4 linked regions of the Rattus norvegicus genome follow. The protein of the gene in region 4 interacts with the protein of the main gene of each other region in a biochemical or structural test. Links are inferred from orthologs where the notes say so. Each region holds a gene or a part of one and is shown on either strand. Other genes may lie near its edges. The genes, in order: Tln1, Lrrk1, Grb10 and Ret.

Region 1 (4,837 bases), on a different chromosome or scaffold from region 4:
GATGGGGTTAGAGAACAGACTTCTCTTTCTCTTCTGTGCGGAGAGAAGCAGTTATAAGAAACCACAGTTAACCTGCCTAAAACAAACTTTCCTCTTGTTAAACCGACCCAAACTTTTCAGAAAATTAAAAGGCAAATAGGCTGGGTATGGTGGCGCTTTCCCATAATCCCATGCCGAGGAGACAAAGGGGATGGTGAGTTTGCCAGGAGTAGTAAGTCCCCATCTCAAACAAACAATTTTTATTGAGGTTCATTAGAAGTATGTGTGTTTATGGATCACAGAATGAACAAAACAAAGTACAGAGAGGGAGAGGGAGGGAGGGAGGGAGGGAGAGAGAGAGAGAGAGAGAGAGAGAGAGAGAGAGAGAGAGAGCGTGCACGCGCATATGCACGCAGTGCTCAGTTGAACTCTAGCTCAATCCTCAGCAGTGTTAATAAAAGTCTCACAGCTGGTCAGTGTGATCAAAACAGAGTCCCAGCAACCTGGGCTTCCGATAGCTTCTGATGACCATGCCCCAGGAGGGAGAGCACCCCCCCACAGGAGGGAGACCGCCCTCCTACAGGAAGGAGAGCACCCCCCCACAGGAGGGAGGCCGCCCTCCTACAGGAAGGAGAGCACCCCCCACAGGAGAGAGACCACCTTCCTACAGGAAGGAGAGCACCCCCCACAGGAGGGAGACCGCCCTCCCACAGGAAGGAGACCCTGATCCATCTCACACTAGCTTCTTGATTGACAGCCGTGAAAGGGAGAAGCAGCACGCATGGGAAACAAGAGCTGCTCTCTGGTACACCTTAGGACATTACCTGTGCGGCTGCCTCAGTGAAGCCGCAGAGAGCCTTGGAGGCTGTGGCAATGGCATCTCCAAACTCTGGCAGATTTCCATTCTTGGCATTCTGGGAGATGCCAGTCATGGCTTCACCTAGGACCTAAGGAAGAGTGGGTATCAGGAGGTTCTGATCATGTCTACTGAGCAGAAATGTACCAGTGTTAAGTCACCTTCCCTCCCTGCCTCTCTGGAGCTCCCTGGCCCACTAACCTTAGAGTTCTCCATGACACTGTCCAAGCAACCGAAGTAGGACATGTCGTTGATGGGCTGCACTGGGTTCTCCAGGAGCTCTCGGACCGTCTGTGCAGGGAGAGCAACATGACATTCAACTGACCCTCCCTCAGCCCCGGCTCCTCCGCCCCAGCTCCCATGCGAAGGCTCACCTCTAGCTGCCGAAGTGCGTTGTCACACTCCTTCTGGCCAGGGGCTTGCTGGGTGCACATGGTGATGAGCTGGTTGATGCTGTCTGTCACTGCCCTGATTGGGAAGGGGAGTGTGGAACTGAGTCCTAGGTGCATGGGGTTGTATATATTTCTCTTTTGTTTTACTACTGCTAAGCTGGGGGTGTCTCATGAAATATCTCCTCTGGCCGTCTCATAGGTCCCCAGAGCTGAGATTCCCAGGTCCAGCTTACCGGGCAGCTGCAGCCAGCTGACTCTTGAGGTTGGGAGCAGCAGGGTCTGTGGACAAGGCCTTAGCAGCCAGAAGAAGTTTGCTCGAAGACATGGATATGCCCTTCAAGTTGGACACCACCTGGGCTCGGTCCTCCTGGCTCTGTTGAAGGGAAGGCATACATTATTCTGTTCTACTAGACTAGAGATGAAGGAACTAGGAGCAGACCCAGATTCTGAACACCCTACTTTGCTCTCAACTAGACCCTCTGCCCTTCGTACCGGGGCCTGTCCAGCCATCTCCACACCAGCTTCCAGGAAGGTGCTGAAGTCCTGTCCGAATCGACCTGAGGCCCGAGCCAGGTCCTGTGGGGTTCCTCGGGAGGCCTGCACCAGCTCTGTGGCCGCCTGATTTAACCCAGCAGCAGCTTCATTCAGTCGGCTCTGTGCTTCCTGAAACGTCCCGGTGCTTGGAGGAAGCTGCAGGGTCCGAGGGGAAGTCAGACAGATGAGTGGGGATGATGGGAAGAGAGTTTAGGAAGGGAAGGCAGGCTAGGGAGGATGGCGCAAAGCCTGGGCTTGTAAGAAGCTACAGACGGCAGGGTCAAAGGACAGGTCATGAGACAGACAGTCCTACCGAGTCACTCAGGAGTCGCTTGCTGGCATCTCCAACAGCTCTTAGGGCGTTATCCACATCTCTCTGGCCAGGCAGGCAGCTGACACAGCGGTTCAGGGCCTGCGTCACTGCTTTAGCCACCTGAGGTGGGAAAGAAACAGGGTTGCCAAAGGGAGTGATTTGGGAGAGCCCCTTTTACTCTGGGACATAGGAGTTAACCAGAGGTCCTGGCACTAAAACAGGCAGAAAGGAACTTCTGTAGCTGAACAAACTGAGGCTAGGGTCACAGACAATAATCACACATCCCAAAATACCCACAAACATCCCAAACCCACTGCTCAGCCAGGTTTGTGCCTCAGGCTAACAGATGCTTCTGTGAGCTGGACTGAAAACACGTGCAGTAGAAGAGCGTGCGCCCTGTTGGGCAGGCCTTGTGAAGAGACCTAAGCAAGGGGTGGGCCCCTTCCCAACACTGACCTGGGCAAGCCTTTGCTGGCTCTCCGGGTCCCCTGGATGGCCGGATGCTTTCTTTGCCTCCTCAATGAGGCTGCTGGCCTTGTCCAGAGCGTCACTGGCTGTGTCAAGCACAATGGCCTGCACTGCAGGATCTGTTGTCAGTGCAGCTACACCCCGTGCAGCCTGGGCAAGTGACCTTAGTCCACCTGCTACATCCCGAGCTGCAATACCTGGGCACACAGAGAAAGGTTTGCTCTATCAGCCTCTTCCCCACAAGTTCCCCGTCTCCAGGCGGCATCCCTCGTCCCATTCCCAGCCCTGGATACCTACACACCTGCATAGTTCTCGTTGCCCTGGGCAATCTCCCCCAGCAGCTTGGCGATGGCAGAGCTCACCGCTTTGGTGCTGTTGCCAAGATCTTGGGTACACTTCTCCATCTGCAGATAAGGGGATGAAGGCTCAGGTGGAGGAGGGGAAGGAAGAGGGGGGAGGGCACCTGAGAAGGTCCTTGGGGAAGGAAGGCTGGCAGTTGCATGAAGGCTCTACAGCGGGGCTGAGCAGACTCTGTGGGTAAGCGAGGGCATGCATGAAGGCCGAATCCTCACCGTCTCCCCGGGTAACGGTTTAAGTTTGCCCTCGCGAGCGGCTGCTTTTATCTCCTGCAGGTCCTTCTCTAGATTCTGTACGACGCTCAGTGCGGAGTCCATCTCCAAAGGTCCACATGCCTCCTGAGCCTGTGGCGGTGAGCAGCACAGGGAGGCTGTATTCCTGGGCCGCAGATTAGGCTACTCTACGACTTCTCCCCATCCCAGCCGTCTATGTGCTGCGCCTTATGTTCCACAGCTAGAAATGGCTGCCCTACCTTCTGGGCAGCAGTGCGGAGCTCGGCCAGGGCAGTGCCTAGGTTCTTTGCACACTGACTCAGCTGCATCGCTGAAGCCTGGTCCTGAATTGTTGGCACTGAGGCCTTTGCTGCTGCCACCATCTTCCCACCTGGCTGTTGGAGAACACATATGCAAATGAGGTATGTCACCCTCCCTCTAGCCTTTGAATATACATTGGTCAGGATGTAGTAAGCACTCTGTCGGGTTTGGTCTTGGCTAATAGCAGATATTCAGGTTGTGGGGAATGTAAGGTTAGGGAAACATAGGAGGGAGGCTCTGGTCTTAGGAGTGGAGTGTCTTGCCTGCAGGAAGCTCTGGCTGGCAGCAATGAGGGCGAGCTGAGCACTAGGGCTGTCAGGTTGAGCTTGGCTTCCTCGGACACCCTGCACCAGCAATGGAATCTGCTCTGCCACAGCCTGAAGGACAGAAGGTCATGAATACCTCCTTCTGGAACCCCTCTTCTCACCCCTCCCCACTCCCACATACCTCTTGGAGACTTACCTTACAGCTCTGTACCAGTAGTGGCTGGGGGCCTGCAGAGGCCTTGGGGGCAGAGGCTGCATGCTGTGCTGCAGCGATGGTCTGTGTAGCAGAGGCTGCAGCTTGTTTGGCTGCATGCTGGGAAGACAGAGTAATCAGAAGGCCAGGCACTCCCAGGCCCTGGCCTACCAGGCCCTCAGTGTACCCTAAGGAAACACTGGCTTGACCCATCCATCCCTGGCACCCCTCCCTCTGTCTCCATGCCGGCCCCTGCCCAGATCACCAGCCTTACCTCCAGACGCTGCACCAACTTCTTCTTGATGGCATTCTGTGCAGCTGCATTGGTGGCCATGCGGAGCCCCTCAGCCGCTTCACGTAGTCGCTGCTGCTGCTCCTCACTGTCGGGGTGGGCGGCTGCTCCCTGAGAGGAGACACAACCATTATCCATCATTATTTTGATTTCAAAACGCACTCTTTTCTGACTTCTCTAAATCCAGTTTAAAGCTAATCTGTTTTCCTGGTCTAATTTCGAATTACCTTCACTGAGGCTTTAACTGCCGAGAGCTGAAAACTGTTTCAGAAAGGACATGTTGTTGGAAGTCCCGGGGTACTTAATTCCCACTAGGATGTGAATCTTTCAGTGGAACTCTTGCCTGTCCTACAGAATCTTCAGAATTCTGTACTAACCAGTGTGAGCAGGAGGGCCTGGGAAGGGGAAGAAGACTCTCTGGAGAAGGGACCTCGGGGGACCTTGGTGATGCCTTCTGATGGTCTTTATACCTAGTGTGTCAATGTCTAATGTGACCTGACTCTGTATGGCTACTGGAGACCCTTGGACCAAAAGGCTATCCGCCTTCACAGGGGACCAAGAGCAGATACAAGCAGATGTGGTAGCAACACAAGGGAAGTGGGAACAGCAGAACTTCAACATGAAAGAAAAACAGAATGTGGACCCTTATGGTCA
Region 2 (4,837 bases), on a different chromosome or scaffold from region 4:
GGCTGGCGTGGGGAACACCACGTTCGTTCAGAGGGATGTGAGTGTGCTTGTGCAGGAATGCACGCATGGTCTGCCCTGTGTGGCCTCCACAGGGCAGGCACCCTGCTCAGGAGGCTCACACAGAGTCAGCTTTATTTTCCCTGCTCGGGAAGGAGGTGCACTCCGGCTGGGGCTCTGGCCATCGGGCCCTTCAATAATGCCTTGTGTCAGGTTCTCTCACTCTCTGGTGTAGGGAGATCCCAGCTGCCTAGGCTGCCCATGGGGCTCTAATCATAAATGACTGTAAGGTTCATTTCTCTTTCTATTCTCTTTCCTTTTCTAAGGAAATGAAACTAGATCACAGGTTTGGCAATGCAAAGAAGTCATAGCAACCACTAGCTTCCAAGTGCCCAGCCTAGAACTCTGGGCTCCGTAGGCTCAGAGACCTATTTCATTGCCATTGCTGTCCTCCTTTTAGATGGACAAACAGAGATCACATAAGGGCACTCAGCACATTTTAAAAAGATGTGCTAGGAAGTACCGTGTGTGTATGGGTGGAAGGCACCCATTGCACCCACAGGCCCCTGTGGCCTTACTAGATCCAGGGAAGGAAGCAGAACTTAGGAGAGCGAGCAGTGCCAGCCAACCCCTCAGAGGAGAGGTCATCGCTCTGCAGCCTGACCTTTCACCAGAAGGGAAGGGGAGGCTCCTGTGTCTACTGTTTGGAGGAGAAGGACCAGGGCCAGTCAAGTGATGGCTTTGTCAGCCCTAGCGAGAAGAGATTCCGTGCTAAGATATGGAGCTGGGGCTGGGGAGAGCACAGGGTGGATGGGGTGAGGAGTGGGTCTGCAGGGCAGTGCTGGGCAAAGCTGGGCAAAGGACTGGGGTCTGGGAAGCAAGTCTTTGAGAGGAGGCAGAGACAGACAAAAGGGAATCAGCTGTGTCCATTAATCAGAAAACACAGTGGCCAGGGCAGGGGAGAGGCTCCCGATACCTTTATCAGGAGAAGGTGCCATTTACAATGGCTTACTTCATCATCTGCACCAGTATGAGCCTCCTCTAAGCCAGTGCTCATGGATGGTAGGCACTCCATGTTAATGGTGGCCACCTTTGTCTCTAAAGCTGGCTGTGACCTGGGCAAGGTGACCCAGAAAGTCCCCAGCTCTATCCACTGTCCCCAGCAAGGAGACCCTCCCGTACTTGGTGACAGACCTGAACATGCCTCTCTCCATACCTTACCTTTTTAATAACAGGTACTGCCAAGAAACAGGTGACAACAGCCGGCGTGTCCAGGGCCTGCTGGGGCATGCTTAATGGGCACATACCCTTAAGGCTGTAGATATAGATTTTCTGGTCCTGCAAGAGCAGACAAAGTCACTCTGAGAACCAGATAAGGAAGTGACTGGCACGGTGTCCTGTTAGGATGCTCTCAGCCTGGGGATCCCCTTTGGTACCTTAAAAAGGCAGGGTTTTGCTTGCTAATCCATTTCTGCTTTTTGTTTGGAAAATACAGTCTGGAAGAAAGTTAACTCATAGAGGATCCTAAGGAGTTGGAGACAGAAGCTTGCTTTTGCCATGCACGAACCAGCCACTAGCAAAGTGGGGCCACAATACAGTGAGAACATGCCACGGGCAGAGCCCTGCACCCCCTCTAGGACGTATATGGGGTCTCCTCTTCTGTCCATCATCTTTAAACATATTTAGTCAATTTGTTGTTGCTACAAAGAATTACATTGGGATAGGCATTCTCAGAGGTCTGTGTGTTCTCCTAAATCAGACTCAGTTCCTGACACTTTAGTTCCATGGGTATCTATGGGTTTTGGGGAGGTCCAAATACTTATAAACAGTCACGAAGAAGGATTATGATGTTCCTTCCCTACTCATAACCCTGGAGCATCTGATTTGGGGCAACATTTGGATTTCTCATAAGACAGCTACTTAGGTCTTCCAATGACTTCCGCGTATGGAGACAGAAGATCCTCAGGGATGAGCTATGCTCCGTGTCCCACACAGTATCATGAGGAAACACGGTGTGGCATGCCATCAACTCACCCAGTTTCTCCTGCTGAGACTCCCTACCTATTCTAACTACCCTGAATCCTAGCTTCCAGCTGGTGGCAAGCAGGAGCCAGCAGCAATTCCCCTGGTGACCTACCTCTCAGGACCGATGACATTGTTTTAGGGATGAGCTCTGTCCAGTTGACCTTGACATCTTGCAGTTTTACAAAGCTGGTACCCCTGGGAACTGTACCCCTCTAATGCTCACCCTGACACGGGCCCTGCAGGCTGGCAGTTACCTCGGTGGCTAGCCACACTGAGCTCTGGACCTTGAGCTGACAGCTCAGCTTCATCCCAGGACAGGTCATCCTCTGTACTTCCAGAAGGCCCTTCTCGGTGTTGACCACCGTGTAATTCCTGTGGTTGGCAACAACATGGGGTCAGTTGCAGAGAGCCAGGGGCACCTCCTTCCCCAGGCCAGTGGGATGGCCTTGGAACAGGTGTAGTCATACAAGTAGGAAGGACCCTTCGTGTCACGGGTTCATGTTTTAAAGACGTGGTTCCCAGATGTAGGCACTATTTTGGGAGGCTCTGGGAACGTTGGGGGGGGGTGGGGCTAGCTGGAGCAGATGGAACACTGGTGGTTATATCAGTGGTTATACCAGGAGCCCAGTCTCCCTCCCCACCTTCTCTGTTTGTCTTTCTCGTTTCCTCTCTCTGCAGCTTGTCTTCCCAGAAGTAAAGGAGAACCATGATGTTCCTCCCAAGTGTGGGGGAGCCAAGATGGCAGGGTCTGGACACAGAGAGTCCAGATCAGTCATCCACCATTGAGTTGTTTCTGTCAGCTCAGTTATTTTGTTGACAGTGACACAAAAGTAACCACATACAAAGGTCTGCTACCCTGCAGCACTCCTGGACTTCATTCATGACATTGGGTACATCTGGGTTTGCCTGCCGTGCAAGGCTTGAACATGGAAGAGAAAGGACATTCCAACCGGAAGGCAGCCTCCTTTCCTTTTGTGACCTCCAAGGGTTCAGGCAACCATCCCATGAAGAGTTAGAGCACCTCCATTGGACTGCTCACTGCCCTCCCACTGACCAGAGCCCGCCCACCACAGGAAGAGAGGCAGCCTCTGCATTGGAGTAGACAGTCCCAGGCTAAAGATAAGAAGTACGAAGTCCACACTTGACTGGGTGGAGCTCATGATGTGCCTCCACCCTGGTCGCTCTGAGAACAGCTCAGTTAGTGAGGAGAGCAGGTTCTTGGCTCACAGGCCTGGATGTGTCCAGCTCCACTGCCCCTCCACACATCCCCAATGAGCGGAGCAGAGTAGGGGAGGGGTTAGTTGGCTAATCACACTCCTGAGAGCACACAGCCCTTTCTCCCAGTCAGAGAGAAAGTGGAGCCTCAGACAGGAGCCATGCTGTAAGCTCTTTTCTGCAGTCATATTTTGAAAGGTGTTCACCACCCCTGACTGACAGCAAACTGCAGATGAAAAAAAAATGGATACAAAACTTGCAAGCAAAACTTTCTCCAAAGTTCTGTCTACTCGTTTTAGTCTTTTCTTCCATGTAATGAAAAAATTTGATACTGAAAATACAGTTGCTTAAGAAAAATAAAAAACATGGCGGAAAGACCAGAGTCTAGCCACAGTGGCGTCGTGTTGCCCTGGTTTCCTGCTTCGTTTCCTTTCTTCTTCCATGGGTCAGTCTGGGAATCTGATCTTCTCTCTCCAGGTTCCTTGCTCTGTGTGCCCAGGTAGAAGCCCCCACTCTCCCTCCTCTGTTTTGGTGGGAGATTTTACGGACCCTCTCTTCCTACTGGGAAAGATCATTTTCCCCCAGGTCCAACTCTCTCCAGCATCGTGCCTATGTCTGAGACGAAGGGAAAAGCAAGCATCCTCAGGAGGGTGGAAGAGGTTGGCTCTGGAGTCCAGGCCCAGTCCTGGAACCAGCCATTGGATGAACCCTGCTTCTTGGTACTTAGAAACCATATCTAGACCCTGCAGTGCCTGTGACATTTGTTTGGTCCTCTCCAATGGAAAGAATTGGAAATATGAATTTATTTCCCCTCTGTCCATGTCTACCCACTGACAACCTAAGATCATAAGATCCATGCAAACTTCAGAGTCCGTTCTGCTGACCCCACTCTATTCAAGTCTCACGCCATCTCAGTCTTCCCGGACTGTAAGGCCTGTAAATGCTCTCCACTGGGACCACCTAGACTACACTAACGTGCAAAGCTCTCCTGTCAGGGGAAGGAGGGGTAGCATGCGCTGGACAACCCCACAGGCCATCACCCAAGACCTCTATTCCATGGAGACTCCATCTCTGGCCTCTCTCCTTACCAGGCCCTGCCTCTGGGTCTCAGGAATTCTTTCCCCCTCCCAGGGGGTCTTCCCTACACTCTACAGCAGTTCCCAGTGACACCTGAGGCATACGTAGTGAAGTACAGACTGAAAAGATTACCTTGACTCCTCCTTCCCATCCCAGAACACCACAGTGTACTCCTGGCTCTGGGATGAGAAGAAGGACGACTGCTTCCCACAGGGCAGCATGTACATGAAGGTGGCGAAGGTTGGGTCTTTCATCTGGCTCACCACAGACAGGGCCAGGGGACGCTGTGGGAGAAAAGTCTATAGTGAGCACAGCTGTGTGGGTCCCCATACAGGGCCACCTGGCACAAGCCAGGGCAGTGTGTGACTCCTCCCACTTGGGGATTAGCCTAACACAAGACTGAAAAGGCTTCAGAACACCCTCCCCCACTCCAAAAATAAATAAATAAATAAATAAATAAATAAATAAATAAATAAATAAATAAAAGCCCGTCACAGCCTCTGGGTCATCATGGCCACAGTAA
Region 3 (5,443 bases), on a different chromosome or scaffold from region 4:
CTGCCTTTTCATTAGTGTACAAACCCTGAAGAATATATCCCAAGTCCCAAAGCACCTATTTGCCAGCTCTCCAAGGTAATTTGACTGCCTCAAAATTCCCCCAGAATCTTCCCTATTTCTGGATTGGATTTTATAAGAAAACAATGACTGCGCTATCAAACTCTGCAGGATGCAGCCAAAACAGTGCTCATAGGGAAACACCTAGCTTTAAATCCCTGTATTAAAAAAAAAAAAAGAGGTTTAAAAATCTGTGCTCTGAGATTTTTATCTAATAAATTCTTAAGAAATTAAAAAAAAAATCCTACAGCTTTAGGATGAAACTGAAGGCACAGCAGACGTCTTTGTTGAAGCGAAGTTCAGTTTCTGAACACTGTAAAGTCTGCGACTTTGATGGAACATCAAAATCAAAAAGCCAAAAGAAGAGAAAAATAAACTTTACAAGGAAGTAAAAAAAAAAAATAAAATGGTGGGTAAAAACCCAAAAAGGAGGAGGAGAGAACCTAAAGGAAAAAAAAAGAGAGAAAAAAAAAAGAAAAAAATGCCCCCCCCAATCAAAAACAGCTTCACTAACGGAAAAGATTTAAATTTGAGCATGTGACCAACCCCCTAAATAAAAAGCAAATAATATTTTCTCATTCCAAAGCCCTATACTGCTGTGGGTTTTTGTGAGGGGAATTTCTCCAGGGAGGAGGACTTGGAGCTGGAGTTAAAGCCAAGGCCTCATCATGGCTCTACACTGAGCTGCTTCGTCTGCCCTCCATGTTGTTTTAACGGGCTGAGAAACAGACACTGGATTCTGCACAGGCTTCCCTCCTATTAAGTGCCAACACTGAAATGTCCGGCGGGGAGCACTGAGTCTCCACGGATGGACAACTGCCCCCAGCGCACAGTTGCAAATAGACACGACGGTCCTGTAGTTTCTTACACGTGGAACAAACTTTCAAGCAAATAGGTTCTCTAAATCACACCATCTATAAAATACCAGTTTAAAAAGAAAGATAGGCCAAGCAAAAATCTGTACAGCTCTAAAATGAGCTAAGGGCACATGGATGGCTTGGTTCAACCAAAGTTTGGCTTCGAAACACTGTAAAGCCTGTGACCCAGCGGGTTCAGCCACATCCTAAATTTTGAGCTGGATCTTTGGTTCTGATTTTGTCCTTCTTGCCCAGTGGAGGCTAACTGGACAGACACAGCTGCTCTGGCTTCCAACCATAGCAGTAACCACCACCCAAAGTCCTAGACAATTAGCCACCAAAAAATCTGCCCTGCTTTCTGGTTCCCTAGTCCGCCTACAAAATCCACTTTGACCAACCCAACACTGGTTCAAAAGCAACATAGGCCAAGTAGTGTGTAATAAGTGATTTAGGTGCCACGAAGCGTTTTAACTTTAATCATAATGAACAAAAATATCATATCAAACTCATGGCTTGATGAATATTGAAGTTTCTTCTCAAAGTAAATGAGTATGTAAGTTAAAAAAAAAGAAGAAAAAGAAAAAAGAAAAAAGAAAAACCTCAGTGATAATTGCTTGGTCTACGTGGCATTAATCTGGAAGGCTGGAAGCAACTGGTCTAAGAAACCAGGCCCCGTCCTCCATTTGCTCTGCTGTGTGTTGAGCAGGGTGTCCCTCCTCTACACCATTTCTTCTAGAAGTGGACATGCTTTTGCAGACGGTAAAAAGCTCAGGAGGTCTCCCCAGAGCTTTGTCCTTTGTTAGCTGGTGCGGCCTGAGGCATACCAGTTAACCTCCTGAGCCTTGGTTTCCAGACCTGTAAAATGGGGACCGTGGGGGCCACGAAGCGCATAAAAAGCAACAGGGCTTTTGAAAGCGCCTTGTAAACTGCGAAATGCTACCTCAGTATCAGTGGCTACACTTCTCAGTTACTGCAACGCCTGCTGGGCTGCAACTCCGTCTGTCCTCAAATTCCCTCCCTGTAATGTGGGGACTGGCCTCTTTCAAATGTTCCCAGTAAAACTCAAAAAAAAAAAAAAAAGTATGTTCAGTAATCCTAAAGTTTTGATTTTTTTTAAAGACAAAAATTTGGTAGGCGAGACTCATTCCTGGGAGCACATTTGATCGCAGCACTCTTGGTGAAATAGTTCTAAGACGCCTCATCCATCGCCTTACACAATTCCCTCAGCTGCAGAAATCCAGAACTCGAGGTCCACTTCTGTAAAATAGGAACCTCACTAAAGTGTAAGCCTTAGTCTGTTCTCGAGGGGGTGAGGTGGGGGGGGCGATGTTAACGACTGGAGTTCTGGTAAAGGAGAGCGAAACGTTAAACTGAGCACCATTTCTGAAACTCAGGGGCTCCAAATGGCTGAATCAGCAATTTCTGAAACAAAGTCTTCTGGGCCTGGCCTTTTAAACAGCCGCAAAGGGAAAGTTGTGCAATAACACATATTTACTCACTAATGCTACTTGTTTTGGACTTTTTCTTTGCATCTCTTGAATGAAACAGTTACAAGAAAAGAGTTTTTTCAAAAACATCCCAAAGACCCGGGGCCTTGTAAAAATCACCTGTGGCGCTCCTACTTTTTTGGTTAAAGCAAATGAAAAGAAGTTCGCGGGGTTTCTTCCAATGCCAAGAGAAGGCAAATACAATTTTTTTAAAAAGTGAATACCCTAATTTCCATAACGCACATGCCGCAGGCCCTCGCCAGGCAGGCGTTTGGAGAGGCAATCAGCAAAGGCGGAGAGTTGCATCAGAAATTTCCTTCTGCAAACGGTACCGCTCTTATCACGTTTCCACCGCTGGCGGGCTGCTTTTTCGCGAGCCCTCAAACTTGGTGTTAGGCCCCAGCGACGGGTAGCGGGGCCACTAACAGACCCGAAGAAAGAAAGGGGTGGGGGTTGGGGCACGAGGGGGGGGGGTAGGGACAGATCCTCGGACCGCGGCCCGGGCCGCGCTCGCTTGGGACTTGGGAGTGTCTGGCACCGCTGCCCGGCCCGCCTGGCGCGCGCGCCGAGGCCGGGGGCGCAGCGGGAGTACCCGCCGCTCCGGTGATCCCCGGGCGCCCACCCTCCAGGGCGGTGGCCCCCGAAAGCGCGGCCTTGACCGCGGCCCCCGCCCGAGCCCCCCGAGCCGTCGCCGTCGGACAAGACGGCTCAAGAATGTCCCTCTCGGGGCCCCGAGCCTCCCCCCGGGGGCCAGAGCGCAGTGGAGAGCGTCGCGGGGCGCCGCAGCCGCGCGCCCGCCGTCCCGTCCCGCCATCCCGCGCCGTCCCGCCGCGGGCCGGGGGCGCCGCAGCCCCTCAGTCCCTTAGCCCCCCGAGGCGACGCCCTTCCGCCCGCCGCGCCTCGCGGGGCCCCGCGTCCCGTTCGCGGGCGGCCCCGAGCGCAGACAATGACGGCGCGGGGAGCCGCCCGGCCGCCGGGCCCCGCGAGGCGCGGACCACAAAAGTAACTTGCCGCCGCTCCCCGCCCAACTCCTACCTGGCGTGCAGCTCCTCGTCGCCTCCGCGTGGCCGCTGGCCACACGTTGCACGAGTCCCTGCGAAAAAGCCGAAGGCAAAGACGGACACTGGACGGTCCCAGTCGCCGTGCGTGAGACGGTGCGCGGAAACTTCGTGCTCCCGTGGGTCTCGGAACGCGAATCCCGCCCGCCACTGGTCGCAGCGCCCTTCTCTTCCTGCCGCCTCCCCGCACCCCACCCCCTCGATGGGCTTTAAACTCTCCGGGCCCCGCCCGCCCTCCCCGCCTCCGCCACCGCCTCCGCCTCCTCCTCCCCCGGCCGCTTTTCCTGCTCCTCCTCCCGCCGCCGCCCGGACCGCTCGGCGGCCGCCAGCGCGGGAGGAGCCGCGGCCTGGGCGCAGGGCGTGGCGCGGGGGGCGCGGGCTCAGCGGCCGCGGGGTTGGCGTGGCACGATGCTCTCCCGCCCAGGCCGGCGCGCGCCCACCATGCTCGCAGCTTGCGGGACCCCCGGCGCCACGCCACCGCCCCGGTGCGCGGCCGCGCCGGCGAAGACCGACCGGACCTGTCCCGAAGGGCCATTCGGAAGGGAATTGTTCGAAACTCAGAAAGTACTCCCCAACCGCACAGTTCAAATTCTTCCTGGGCTGCGGCCGCCCGACACCGTCGTGGGCAGCCCCGGGCCCGGACAAGGAAACTCGGGCTTGCTCACGGCGGGTCGGTCCGAGCCTCACCTTTCTCAGCCTCAGTTTCGCCAGCTGCGTGTGAGTAGCCGAAGGAGGGAAGCCTGAGAGGCCCTTCATTGTTTCTTGAGGCAGCCTAGCAAGCCTCGTGTCCTTTACCTCTGAAGTGGGGCCCTCCTGAAAGTAAAGCCCAGACGGGCCGTGCCCGGTTTCTAAAGTGACCCACGAAAAGGCAACAGGGCTTATGTGATCGGCCCCTTCGAAATAATTCTTAATGTCTATATTGTGTCGCTTTTCTAGCACAGATAGGATACCAATAATTACACCTTTTTCTTGAGTTTCGGCTTGGTAAAAGCAGCCCCAACCGTAAATCACCGTAGTCGAGAAGACACGTGGTGTGAAACATTCGTGAGTTCTCCTACTTCTCCCTCACTCAAACTTCTGAGGTTGTTTCTAGAGCAACTGTAGAGAAGTAGAGAGACTGAGTCTCTTAAGAAGTAACTTCTAGAAGGTTGAGAAGCTGGGAGGGAGCTCAGGGCAAGGATTTGAAAGCTGTGCTGTGCACGTATTGTCCCGACGCGCTTTTTGAGAGCACTGCTCTGGTACCTCTTGCTTCTAACCGTGGTTTTTCCGACCTCAGATTGATGTAATCAATGAAAAGTTTTCCCTTTCTTATAACTGAACACTCACTCCTGTTTCTGGCCGTTGGTCCAGACTCAGAAACCCACAAGGTGAAAATCCAGAGGAAAGGATGTGAAATAAGTCTTCGATTCCCCGGGAAAGGAACACAAGAAGTCTTTTGTAGACAAAGGACTCAAAAGCGAACCAAAGCAGAGAAAACTGGGCTAACTTTTCCCAAGTTGATTTGCTTCAAACCTTTTAGTTTTCCTGCAAAGTCTCACCAGCGATCCATACTGTCCCAGACACAAAGCCTGTCAGGTCAGGGAACTTTTACAGATATTTGAAAGTTTCTACATACTTTCGCAATACTTTTTCCCCCCTGAATCGATTTGTTGGTAAGTTCCAAACACTGTGGACCCTTCAGCCCTCTACACATTGATGTTGCCTTCCCAAACATGGAGATGTTTTCTTATATAACAACCACATACCTTTCAAATCCACAGAATCGTGTGCGTATTTAATCTAGGTTTAAATTGTTTTTTTTTTTCAGTTTATCTGATAATTTAGAACATTCTTTTTCCTTACAGACCAGTCTAGTGCTCTAGGCGAAAAGTTTAATCTGTGTTTTTCAGGCATTCTTACTCACTAGGATGGTCTGGAGATCAAGTATTTTCTTGGTGTCAAAGTCCTGGACAGGCCCTCACCCCCAAATTTCCTTGTTCCCTGT
Region 4 (4,837 bases):
ACATATCTATCTGATTTATATACATTCATATACGTGGCCTGTAGAGATATATACTCCTTTGAGCACACAAACACACGTTCTTGCAAACTCCTAAGTGACCCTGATATTTTGTGAAGCCCCCTGAATGTGAAGAAGGCACGGATATCACTGGTGTCGCGCACCTACTGTCACACCTCCACTGCTGCCACTAGAAACATGTCCAAGGCACATACCAGAGACTATGCTAAGCACGTGGAAATGGTATGAATTTGCTCCTTTAAAGATTTGAGAGAAATCAGTATCTTTACTGTTTTGTTTGCTTGTGTCAGCCTAGTCTAGCCTTGAATTCGTGATCTTCTTCCCTTTTTTCCCCCCGAGTGCTGGAATTAGAGGAATGAGTCACAGTACCAACTCTCCATGTTTTACATTAGGGAAATCAGGCTGAATGGTTGAGTCATGGGGCTTCTGTGGGTATAGCTTTTGGGCACCAGGCTAACTCTGGAGCAGACGTGTGGAGCGTGTGTGTGCCTCTGCCCTTGTTTACATGATATGGCCTTGCTATGCAGCCTCCCGGTGCTATCTGGGTTACAGAGAGCTCTGGTGGCTTAGTCTAGAAGCCTGCTGCAGATCCAGCTACAGCCAGAGGAGGAACCACACACTAGGATCAAGAGAGGCAAAGAGCACATGTAGGAAGAACTTCTCCAGCCCTGTGTGAGGGCTGGGTGTCATTCACGTAGGCCTGGGAAAGGTAGGGCCCCCTAGCCACCTAAGGCCACTTCATAGCCACTTCAAACTGCCAGGGGTCCATGGCCACTGGGTGCTCCCACAGGTGTCTGCATCACAGTCCCTCCACCCAAACCTGTGGCTTTCTCTATTCATAGCGCTTGTCTCCATAACACTGTCCTAGCTGTTCCCAGAGCACCCTGGCTTCCAAATCCCGAACAGATAACCAGGGTGCTGAAGGGGCAGGGTCTTCCCGAATGTGAGGGCAGACACATACATGGCAACCACAGAGAAGACATGACCATGATAGGGAGGCCTCAGTGGTAGTCCGGTCTTGAGCAGCACCCACGGAAAGGTTTGTCCATCTCAAGAGTGGCTGGGGCTTTCTTCTGGGCGCCCAGTGCCTCCCCCTTCCATGTTGGGGTATCTACCCTATATACTCCTGCTACCCTGGACCTCTGGGTCAGCACTTCTTTATGATCCCCACACACTCTGCCCCATCCCCATCCCACCCCTCTTCTCAATGGGTAAGCCTATTGTAGGGCTATAGAACATGGGCCTCTTCCACTGTTCCTACTCTTGACATAAAACACTTGCTGGGTGGGCATGAGTGTATGCATGCCTGTGTGTGGGTAGAAATTACTGGTCCTCTCTCTCGGGGCTTCTGCTCACACCTCCCCTGCTAGGTAGGACCACGCTCACTTTCACCAGGACCTCAAGGCCCACATCTCAGACCCCAGCCAGTCCTATCTGAATCAGCACCTGTCACTTCCTTCCTAGACAGTCTGCCTTCACAGCCCTGGAAGGCAAGCAACCCCCTGCTCTTGCCCTTATGCGACGGGGATCTACGTAAGGCTATATCAACCATCTGTGGGCACCCCAAGTAGTAAAGAAAGCCTCTGTGGCCATGTTTCCTCCAACACTGTCCACCTACCTCTTGGGGCCCCTTACCGGGATCTTGAAAGAGTCCACAGAGACCTGGTTCTCCATGGAGTCCAGTGAGGGCCGGCGGGTGCCCGAGGAAGAATAGCTGATTGGGAAGCCCTGGGCCGGCCGGCAGAAGGTCATTTCGGCTGACGCGATGGGTGGCTTGTGCGCATGCTTGTGGTAGCGGTGGATGCAGAAGGTGGACAGCAGGACAGAGATTATGAAGGAGAAGAGGACAGCGGCTGTGATGACCGTACGGCACAGCTCATCGCACAATGGGCCTGTGGCAGGGCAGAGTGACAGGGACTGCACTGTGACCGTCTGAGATGCTACTGACTGGGTACAGGCACCGCTGTACCAATTCTCCTACTGTCAAACCTCTCACAGTACAAACAGTGGTGTGAAGACTGCACTCAACACCAGCTATCCTGTTTTCCTGTTGCAAATGTCTGAATAGTCAGTATAGAAAGGTAGGACAAAGAAAGAAAGGATCACAGGCTTTGGACAGGGAGGTCCTAGAGTGAGCCAAATTCCAGGACACTTCCATAATACCAGAGGCTAAGCAAGACCCTGTCCGGGAAATCTGACCAAGTTACTTGGAAGGACTGCTTTCCTGAGCATCCTTTATTGAGAATTGTGGCTAGGATATGCTTTATAGGGATTCTGACCCCGATTCATGGTGGTGCCAATGGTAAAATGGGCCCAAAGGGAAGGAGCAGCCTCCTGGGGTCTAACTGCCTCCCCATAGTCTCTTCCCTTGCTGAACCACACAAATGTTGCTCAGAGCTTCCTTGAGGGTTTGAGGAAGTCAGAGAGCCCTGTGAGAGGTGCTCCTTACCCTGGCTGTCCTCTGGCTCGCAGAAGCACTTCTTCTCATCAGGGAAACAGTTGCAGATGCCATAGCCGGCTTTAATCCCCTGGCGCTCCCCTCGCTCATGCCCGCCAACAATGGGGCCACCTGAGGACATATGTGGAATATTCAGTCTCCTGGTGTGGCCTGATGCCTCAGAGTCCTCGGACTGTGATTAGCCTTCCCAACTCGGGGTCAGTCGCTTAGGCCCAGTGAAGGCAGTAGGCTCGGAAGCCCCTTTCACCTGGGCAGAGTTTAACACAATACCCCTATACTGGCTATGGAAGTAGGGGGGAGCCAAGATTGTTTAGAATCACTGCTGAGGTCCCGGAAGGCATCAACCACAGCTAGCCCCCAGTAACAGTAAAGATGGAGGAAATGGACCAGAGACAACGTGGGTCCTGAGCCAGCAGGCCGGGGACTGCAGCTTCATGAGTCAGTCAAGGATAGACAGGCCAGGCTGCACAAGCCCCGTCCTGGGGGAGCACAGCCAGCATTCAAATGAGATGGTAGCAGGACTGGCTTGGCACATCCTGCTTGGTTGAACCTACTACTATTACACACTGTTCTTCTTTGGTGCTAAGGTGAAGCCATGGCCCTACATATGCTAAGCTCGTGCAATACCCCCAGCTGGCCTGAAGCATCCTATAGACACTTGAGGCTCCAGCCTGGGTTCAGGTGTAGGTTAGGGCTTCCAAGCTCTCCGCTGCCAGCTCCCTTGCCTTGACCCTTCCCTGCACACTGGTAAAATGCATCACCCTGGGCCTAGCCTGGGCTTACGGAGACAGTCCTGGGGGCAAATGTTGATATCCCGGCTCTCCAGAGCATCACAGTGGCCATCAGGACAGGTCCTGGTGCTAGGAGAACAGGTGGAGAAGTTCCTGGTGATCCCTGTGATGGAGTACAAAACAGGCTGTCACCCTGCATGGGCATATCCCTCCATGGTCTGCCTTTGTCATGGTCCAACCTTGCCTCTCTAGGGACAGCGAGATGAAGGGACAAGTTGAGTAACGCCACATACACCTCAGACACCAGCAAGGAATGACAAGGGGTCCCCCAAGGGCTGAAGTGCCGGGCATTCTAGGACTGCAGATAGCCTTCCTCTAAGGAAGCCACTTAAAGGCAAGGATCTGTCAAAGCTATATTGGCCACAAGCACCTTAAAGCGGGAGGTGAACCTGTAGTGAGGCAGAAACACTTTCTGGCTGGGACTTTCTGGAAGAACCACTCTGTCCCCTGTCGGTCCCAGCTCTGGTATAGTGGTCCCCAGAGTGAATCTAATTGAGGTGGCACAAGCCCTGCCTCCTCTGCTGGCACTGGTTCCACAGGAGGGACAGGCTTAGAAGACAGGGATCAGGGAAGCTAAATGAGGGACTAGCAGACCTTGTACGAACTCACTCCTGACGGCAGCCAGGATGGCCCCTACCCAGCTCTCCTCCCCCATCCTCCTCCCCAGCCCCATCCCACCCCCTGCCAGCTCCCGAACCTACCTTTACCATCTCCCTGACGCCACTCACATCTGCCAGTTGGAGAACCCAGGCCACCACACTCCTCACACTCAGGTCGCCTCTTGTTTACTGCACAGGACTTGGGGCAGCCCACTTCTTCTGCAATGTCTGGGAGGGACAGACAAGCCAAGGTCACTGGGACTGGTGTGGGCCCAGTCTCCAGACCTCTGAAACGGACAGAGTGTAACAACAGTTCCACTGTCCATGGGTTCTGGGGTAACTAGGGTATTTGTGAAAGGGACTGAGGCACCAGAGCCAGAGGCTCTCATTAGCTCCTGTCTGCTGAGCCCTTCTGGTAAACATAAGGACAGGAGGATATGACGGTGACCACAGCAAAGGACACCTGGTATTGCCGGTTCACACAGAAGTGTTCCCTGTGATTGTCCTTGACATCTCATCCCTCCACGGAGCCTGACACTTACATGTCCCCTCCACTGTGACGACTAACGAAGCCTGGGTCTGCCTGCGGGTCTGCCGGTCAGTGGCTACCACTGTGTACTGAAGCTCGGTACACTCAGGTCGCCGCAGGGCCTCCGTGTCATTTACATATAGGGTCCCTGAGGTGTCTTCTGTTGAGGTGACCACACCTAGGGCACTGCAGTTGGTGCTGGAGGGCTGCAGCTTGTACTGGATGGAGACACCGCTGAACTCCTGGCAGTTCTCCACGCAAACTTTCCCAATCTGGAGGGGGGAGAGGGAGGAGGAGGTTCGAACCAGTACACCTTAGCTGGATGGGCTCTTGGGTAGACCAAGTTGGGGGATGGCCCTCAACTTAGCTTGAATGGTAGTCTTCCTCGATGTCCAGTGTTCTACACCTCAGCACCTACAAGCCCACCTGCCTGGTCAGCCCT

Evidence for each region.
Region 1: the proteins of Ret (region 4) and Tln1 interact in a surface display test, tested with the Homo sapiens proteins (2 studies listed by BioGRID and IntAct, with this or other methods). The link is inferred for Rattus norvegicus from reciprocal best matches to the Homo sapiens genes RET and TLN1.
Region 2: the proteins of Ret (region 4) and Lrrk1 form a complex in vitro, tested with the Homo sapiens proteins (2 studies listed by BioGRID and IntAct, with this or other methods). The link is inferred for Rattus norvegicus from reciprocal best matches to the Homo sapiens genes RET and LRRK1.
Region 3: the proteins of Ret (region 4) and Grb10 form a complex in vitro, tested with the Homo sapiens proteins (2 studies listed by BioGRID). The link is inferred for Rattus norvegicus from reciprocal best matches to the Homo sapiens genes RET and GRB10.

What each region holds. Positions count from the first base shown.
Region 1 is NC_086023.1:62,592,821-62,597,657, forward strand, and holds part of Tln1 (talin-1), read right to left. Parts: exon of another isoform or gene 4,295-4,837; coding exon 4,166-4,294; exon of another isoform or gene 4,012-4,165; coding exon 3,895-4,011; exon of another isoform or gene 3,810-3,894; coding exon 3,696-3,809; exon of another isoform or gene 3,507-3,695; coding exon 3,372-3,506; exon of another isoform or gene 3,244-3,371; coding exon 3,115-3,243; exon of another isoform or gene 2,947-3,114; coding exon 2,844-2,946; exon of another isoform or gene 2,740-2,843; coding exon 2,531-2,739; exon of another isoform or gene 2,195-2,530; coding exon 2,075-2,194; exon of another isoform or gene 1,918-2,074; coding exon 1,720-1,917; exon of another isoform or gene 1,601-1,719; coding exon 1,461-1,600; exon of another isoform or gene 1,427-1,460; intron 1,304-1,426; coding exon 1,210-1,303; intron 1,127-1,209; coding exon 1,037-1,126; intron 927-1,036; coding exon 804-926; intron 1-803. UniProt on the Homo sapiens protein: High molecular weight cytoskeletal protein concentrated at regions of cell-matrix and cell-cell contacts. Involved in connections of major cytoskeletal structures to the plasma membrane.
Region 2 is NC_086019.1:129,260,609-129,265,445, forward strand, and holds part of Lrrk1 (leucine-rich repeat serine/threonine-protein kinase 1), read right to left. Parts: intron 4,599-4,837; coding exon 4,447-4,598; exon of another isoform or gene 2,395-4,446; coding exon 2,277-2,394; exon of another isoform or gene 2,252-2,276; intron 1,336-2,251; coding exon 1,219-1,335; intron 1-1,218.
Region 3 is NC_086032.1:90,812,746-90,818,188, forward strand, and holds the start of Grb10 (growth factor receptor-bound protein 10), read right to left. Parts: upstream 3,643-5,443; 5' UTR 3,437-3,642; intron 1-3,436.
Region 4 is NC_086022.1:153,016,127-153,020,963, forward strand, and holds part of Ret (proto-oncogene tyrosine-protein kinase receptor Ret isoform a precursor), read right to left. Parts: intron 4,668-4,837; coding exon 4,409-4,667; intron 4,095-4,408; coding exon 3,969-4,094; intron 3,371-3,968; coding exon 3,260-3,370; intron 2,588-3,259; coding exon 2,468-2,587; intron 1,911-2,467; coding exon 1,654-1,910; intron 1-1,653. UniProt on the Homo sapiens protein: Receptor tyrosine-protein kinase involved in numerous cellular mechanisms including cell proliferation, neuronal navigation, cell migration, and cell differentiation in response to glia cell line-derived growth family factors (GDNF, NRTN, ARTN, PSPN and GDF15).